Kluyveromyces lactis: one gene and its partner. The protein of the gene in region 2 interacts with the protein of the main gene of each other region in a pairwise test. Links are inferred from orthologs where the notes say so. Each region holds a gene or a part of one and is shown on either strand. Other genes may lie near its edges.

Region 1 (4,738 bases), on a different chromosome or scaffold from region 2:
CAAATAGTCATTCTGAAAGTAAAAATCTAAAGCATCATAAATATCCTTTGGATGGTCACCGGTGTTAACCAATAAGGATAAAAACCTTTCATATTTTGTCCGGACAGAAGCCTCATCATTGACTGGTATCAAGTCCTGTTTAATTCTACCGTAAAACAACTGTTTGACAAGATCATTCTGTTCCAAGTCGTCTTCCAAGCTCAAAGGTTCTGAAGCAATCTCAAGCTGAGCCAAGACGTTACCTATACATTCTGTAACATCTTGTTGTCTTCCGATCTCCAATGTATTTTCAAGTTGGTCCGCACTGATTTTAGCAACTTGGACGGAATATTGCTGTGTTCCTGCTTCTGACGATGTTTTATGTTCGGGGAGCGCAACCGGGCTCTGGCACATTATGATATCATCATCACAAGACGCTAGGTGACGAGTAGTATCAGTGGGGTCTTCGACGACGTCAGTTGTTAAGTCGATGAGTTCTTTCTGGGCAACAGTATCGTCACCGAACTCCACCTCGACATTACTCGGAGCAAAGGCTAAGTAGACCAACTCTTTTGTGGGCGTGACGCATCTACTGTTTGTGTGGATCATGTCATTGAACAAATCACGAAGATGGTAGACAAACTGGACCGATCTAAGCTCTTCTTGTTTGCTGACCTCCCTGCCTCCAATTCTTCTTCTAGAGTGATATTCAGACGCATCCAGTAATTTAGCAGAGTCATCATCATAATTCAAAATAAAATCACGTAGAGGTTTGATAGTGAAAAAGAATTGAAGTAGTGAGTTTAGGTAGCATGTATTTCCCACATTATTGATTCCAGCTGGCCATGTAGCAACAGGAAGACAACTTACGTCCACAATACCGGTGTCTAAAAAGTGGTTGATAAGTTTACTATTTCTAGTAAAACCAATATTCTGAAGGGCCATTTTCAACTTCAATAGATAATCAGGACCTGTCATAATTCCGTGACTCCATTTCTTTTGAAAAACTTCAAGGATGACATCGTCGCTTGCATTCATGTCAATTTCAATGATGTTCAATGCTTCATCGTATGATATGTCAGTGCAGTTGTAATATTGCGCAAATTCTGGACATTCATCTGTCAAGACATTCAAAAGAAATATTGAGCGCCTATCTAGTGCTATTGTAAAAATCGCCCGATCATAATCTTTTTTCAAACCAGGGGCATCAGCAATATTGATCGTATATGCAGTTTGGATAATATCATCATCTACTGTCTCGTCTACCTTTAAAAGAGTGTAAGCTTGTTGTACATTATAATATGGTTCATACTCCACCAAAAACAACATCTTTTGACTACCTAAATATTTTCCTAGCACACGTAGGGCATTTCTTAGATCTTTTCTTTGATTATCAGAGCTCCTTAATAGATGAGAATTGTAATATTCAATCATCGTATTGGCATCAAGGAGGCTTGCGTCAATGTCAGTTGGATCTAAACCAAATACCTGTAATGCATTATTCAAATCTTCATACCCAACAACATCTTGTTTTCCACAGTAAGCAATAAGCTGGTAACTACCCTTTGCGTTTGTTACATATTGGAGAGCATCAAAATAATGGCTGATGTTTTCCTGATCAAGTGCAATTTGAGTTTCATAGTTTTTAATGATATCCTTATCGATGTACTTAAAAGCAACAGATAGGTTAATAAAATGGTAATTTATGTCGTAGGGGAATGGTTCAATGTGTTGGTGGTTCAAAATATTGAACCACCATGTGTGACTGGCACTAAAATGTTGATTAGAAAAGCACTTTGCCACTGTCTTCTTTTCAGTACCAAGTTCATTTTCAAGTAGCATCGACTGCTTACCAATTAAAACAACCTCCATGGATTTTCTGGTATACGCCTCTCTAATCCCTCTGACCTTAAAATCTGTGATATAATCAACTAAATCTGGTGGCTTATATTCCTCTCCAGATTGGACATTATCTTCTACAGCGGTCTTCTGCAAACTGAAATCAAACATTGTCGTTAACCAGTCAGTATTAATTTGTGAGTTGAGTGCAACACTATCCCTGGAAATAATCTTAAACTCACTATTAGCAGATTTCCTCTGTAATGGGTTCTTAAATATCATGAAAAGAGTTTTCAAACACTCGGCTTGGCTAGGAATATCGTCCGGGTTCAATAAATCAAATTCTTGACATGCATTTTTATATCTTTCCTCAATTTTTGCTGTTCGATATTCAGCTAGGTTCTCTGAATTAAATTCTGGTTTTATTATCTCAACAAGTATAAGTTTATTAGTATCAGCAGAAACAAATATACTTTGGTCTACTAATCTACAGTCTTTCTCTTCCATTATAAAGATATCCCTTTTGTCGAATGGATGTAAAGATTCAGGCTCTAAAACATGATAATGAGTTATCCCAACGTGTCTATTGAAATTTTCCAAGTATGATCTCCTTTTCACAGTAATCTTCAAATGAAAGAAGTATTCAGGAAACTTGTCAATGTCATCAAAGTCATTAGGAGTAAAATTCGGATCTACCAGCAATGCGAACATAACACTGATGGTATTCTTCCCTGGACAAGTCATTGAATCATAATCATATCTGCTTCTCAAATTAACCTGGTCAATTAAATGCACTAGGTTCCACGGTTGCAATTGCTGTCTTTCCCTCGAGTACTGAAGCATTGGTTGTTTCATCACAGATGAACCAAACTTCTTCAAGAACCATGGTGAAATCCTAATGTCATCTAAAATTCGATCGCATGTTTTGAACGGAAAACTTTTCGAAATATCTCCGTACAAAAGCGTCTTACCATCGTCTACTAAATCTGAAAATGATTCCAACGACTTAGATCTCAGTACTTCTGCTGTTTCCGAAACAGAATCTCTCTGTTCGCCATTCAATTCTAAAGCTGGTTCTTGTGAAGCCATCATCAATTCGAGATTCTATTCTCTGCCAAGCTATCCTCAAATTGTCACAATATACTGTAGCGTGTCAAATGTATCAGAATTGAATCACTGGGAGTATTAGAACGAGCCTAGAAGTGGCAAATAGATATTTTTAATTATGCATTTGCCAAAGGATTGAAGATCTAGTTTTCCTTAAAATTTAATGCAATTACTATTCTGATTCTACTTAATTCTTTTGTTACCCTTTAAAATTTGTCAATAGTGGAAATCTGTAGACAGAACCACAATGAGTGTGTGGTGTACGGATTTATACTCACAGTTTTAAATTTAAACGCATTTATGGCGGTACAAAGGGCATTAAAATGAGTCAAAAAGGGCCTCTATTCAAATTACCTATGCCCTGTTTGATGTAACAGCATTGCTATTATTCCGAAAAGACTGAAACAGCTTTACAACTTGTTTTTCTGAGTACTACGTAAACTATAATTTATAACTCAATGTAACCTATTCAACCTTTGAATGTTGAAATAGGTTCATAAAATCCAGAACTTTAAAACGCAGTCGTTGAGTTAAAAAGAGGAAAAATAGTTCGATCAGTGGCACCGCTTCATAGTGAGCATCTGAAGAATTTTAGTAGTCGTTACTTGAACACCAACAAGCAAAGTAGAAGAGGAACGGTCATCTCTGTCACTGTTTCTATCGTTACTTTTAGAGAATCATCTATGACGGACTTCACAAGCCACTTTCCTACAACGAAATCTGTAAACTGCAGAAGAGAGAAAAACATAATTAAAAAAAAACCAATATAAAAGATGTTGCATGAGGAGTTGAAAAATTTAGGGAGGAAGAGCTTCAGGGTCTAGTCAATATCTTTTCCGAAACTGATCATAGGTAGCTTATAGTGGCGTTTGATCACAGTAAGTGTTAAGATATATACTATCCATGGAATAACAATAATAAGATGGGAAATAAAACGTCTACACTTTCAAAGAATGATTTGACCAGTTTGAAGCAATCTACGTATTTCGATCGCAGAGAGATCCAACAGTGGCACAAAGGGTTTCTACGGGATTGCCCGAACGGCCAGCTAACTAGAGAAGAGTTCATCAAGATATACAAACAATTTTTCCCCTTTGGCTCGCCAGATGAGTTTGCTACGTATGTGTTTAGCGTGTTTGACAAGGATAATAATGGATCCATTGACTTCAAAGAATTTATCACAGCATTAAGCACCACTTCCAGGGGCTCCTTAGAGGAAAAGTTAGTCTGGGCTTTCCAACTCTATGATTTAAACCACGATGGCGTAATTTCATATGAAGAAATGTTGACCATAGTGTCAAGTATTTATAAAATGATCGGGAACATGGTAAAACTAAGTGACGATGAAGCTACTCCAGAGTTAAGGGTAGAAAAGATCTTTAGGCTTATGGATAAAGACAAAGATGGTTGTATTACGTTAGATGAATTTAGAGACGGATCGAAGGTCGATCCATCTATAGTAGGGGCATTGAATCTTTATGATGGATTGGTATGACCCTTGTGTAACCTGCTTCCATACAACTTACTTAGTGTAAGTTTTCAACGGTTGCACGGCAATTAGGCGGGGGCACTTTTTTTGGCTTGAAGTTGTTAGTCTTAAAGTCATATTCATACTGACTGTTTCTTTTAATGTGCTCTTTTTTGATAATGGAGCATGCGGTTCTCTTCCTGAAACATTGATTTACGTTAGTTTCCAACGTGTATGGGTGTAACTATATCATCAGTGTAATATATACGTTTGTATACGATACTATAATACTTCTCCAATCTGTATATATAAAACCAAATATGCCTTATCACGTATTCATCACGG
Region 2 (2,700 bases):
ATGATCTTCCTCGAACACAGCATTCTTAATCACATCGTTCATGATATTATCCTGATAGCCTTTAGTGAAATACAACATCGCTTTAGCGTACCGTGTAGGGGTATCCAGTAAACCCTCACGTTCGGTATCCTCACCGAGCTCACTCAAAATAGTCTTAACCGCATCTGCAATACGACCAACCCGTTTTTGTTCTTCTTCATCCGTTTCCTCTGCTCTTTCACGAGCACCAATACTAGGCCATGATAAACCGTCTTTTTCCACAGTAGGATTTAAGGTATAAGGCGAAGCTGGACGAATGTTCAAAGGAGTAGCACGTCTTTCAATCTGAGAGACGTGCGAGATATGTTTGTTTTCCATTATTGAATATAGCTAGCTGTATGGGTTACCTGATATGGGTTACTAATCCATGCAAAAGAAAGACCCTATAAATATGTGATACTGGTCAGACAACGGGACTTGTTGAGAGAAGCCGACAGAAGGAGACACGTACGCACAAACTAACACACAAAACGACAAACTTTCACTGAATTATCCAATCAGTTAAAGCTTGAAAGAGCCAACCCAAAATCGAAAACTTTACAATGGAACAAATGCATATGGTACGCTTTATACCTCTTGTTTCCTATAACTCGAACTCATCGAAATTTTTCACTTTTTGTCATACAAGGAAAAAAAGTAAAACTGTGGAAACACCGTACCATGAGAAGCAGCAATTAGACATGACTAGTTACTCTATCATGTGCTACCTCAGCCAGTACCCTGCTATTGAATGTTGTTAATGGACAAACATGAAATGAATAGAAATTAATTATGTACAATTTTACTTAAACAGTGTAGAGTTTGGGCGAATCAGATGATCAAACTAGTAGGTTGGTCCAGTAAGAATCCTGCCAAGACCGTAGCATACGGGACACGGTTCTTTATCCAAGAAGAATCGTACCCTACCAGTCCCATTGCAATTGTTACACATCATGCCTCCTATGCGACTGTCACCGGGACGCACAACGATAGGTGCTGAGTTTATGACGAAATTCTGTGGTGGCATCGTGACATTAGAGTATACGAACGCAGGTCTTGGCCCTGCACTTGGACGTGGTGGTTGTGCAGGTGGGGGTTTGTAGAATTTCGACCAACATTTCTTACATTTTTGTTGAGTCTTGATCTTGGTGCCAGTGTTCCCGCATTTTTTACAATAATATCCTGGAGGGTACGTCCAGGGTAGTTTCTTATTGCCAGTACTGGTACTGGTACTGCTTGAAAAGGTACTAGTGGAATGATGGTACGCTGGTATGGCATTGCTTGGCCGGGGCGGTCTTGCTGGTGGTTGTGTTGGACGTGGTGGAGGGTTTGGTGGGAGCTGCTGCTGCTGCTGCGAAGCAGCAGCAGTATCTTGTCTCAGCACTTCATCATACGACGGAAGATGCTCATCTGGCTGTATATCTGATTCTGATTTCATTGAAGTATTCTCAAAGTGACTGGTTCTCTGATCTCTGTTCTTTACTGATCCCGATCCCGTTCTCCATACACTTTTCTTTGACTAAATATATGTCCCTTATATATCTTGATCTTTTATATATACGTGATTTATTTGGCAGATGCACCTAAAATGAGGAAACCCTATAGCACGACGGCTGCAATGTGGACGAATCCCGATCCTAAACTGGGCTTTTAGCCATTGATAACTACTGGATGCAGCCAGTGAGTAACTGCGGACTTACAGACAAGGGTCCACTCTTGCCAATGCTCCTACTAATGGTTCTAATGGGCATCAAAGTCAAAGCCTTGATCAGTTCATGTTACCCGGACCATATATACAAATATCCGGGTAACAAACTCATATCTCTGCTCTGGCGATCTCATACTACTGACAAAGGAATCTGTCATCAATCAACAGACACCTGAGAGAGACAAGCAACTTCATATGGTTAGGAGTATCTGACTATGGGCGTTGCAATGCTAATATAAATTAAATTATTTACCTGGGTGTACATGTTATGTAGAATCTCTTCCTAATCCGTTGCATGGGCGGCATGGCTGGCATGGCTGGCATTGCTGACATGTTTACCCAAATGCTTTACTACAGCTACACCTAAGAGCACAACTGTGAGTATAAGACCACGTCTTGCTGGAAACTGCCTTCTATTGAATCTTGACCAACATGTTCTACACCTGCGTTGCGTCCTGGTCTCTACACCGGTGTTCCCGCACCTTCTACAGTAATACCATGGAGGATACGTCCAGGGAAGCTGGTCGATATCAGTACCGGTATTGCAGCTACTGGTAGTGGTGGAATTGGTGGCATTATTTGGTATATCATTGGACGCATCATTTGATTCGTCATTTGGTTCATCATTTGGTTCATCATTTGATGCCTCTTGATGCCGAGAAGCACCGGTAGACGAACCTTGTCCGACTGCTTCGTCATACGACGGAAGAATACCTGATTGTTTAACTGACGCTGCCATTATAGAATGTTGGGTCACGTGCCTAACAGCCAACGGCTCCTTCCAACCTTTCTTCCATGCATCTAGTTAGACATCTGGCTTATGCGTGTCTTATATATCCATGACTCGTCTAGCAGATGAGTGAACCATCATATCCACGCAATAACATGCAAATCCACGGCTCTAAGGTGGAAAAAGGAACCCTAAATGGTGTATAGTAATGGTGGCTTCAAGGGTATAAACCATTGGACTTAAT

What was found.
Region 1: the proteins of KLLA0_A09757g (region 2) and UBP2 interact in a two-hybrid assay, tested with the Saccharomyces cerevisiae proteins (2 studies listed by BioGRID). The link is inferred for Kluyveromyces lactis from reciprocal best matches to the Saccharomyces cerevisiae genes HUA1 and UBP2.

Annotation. Positions count from the first base shown.
Region 1 is NC_006041.1:219,400-224,137, forward strand, and holds the start of UBP2 (ubiquitin-specific protease UBP2), read right to left. Parts: upstream 2,911-4,738; coding exon 1-2,910. Other genes in the region: FRQ1 (frequenin), read left to right, coding at 3,848-4,420. UniProt on the Saccharomyces cerevisiae protein: Has an ATP-independent isopeptidase activity, cleaving at the C-terminus of the ubiquitin moiety in natural or engineered linear fusion proteins, irrespective of their size or the presence of an N-terminal extension to ubiquitin.
Region 2 is NC_006037.1:854,544-857,243, forward strand, and holds KLLA0_A09757g (uncharacterized protein), read right to left. Parts: upstream 1,457-2,700; coding exon 863-1,456; downstream 1-862. Other genes in the region: FOL2 (GTP cyclohydrolase I), read right to left, coding at 1-357; KLLA0_A09779g (uncharacterized protein), read right to left, coding at 2,010-2,465. UniProt on the Saccharomyces cerevisiae protein: May be involved in assembly and disassembly of the actin cytoskeleton.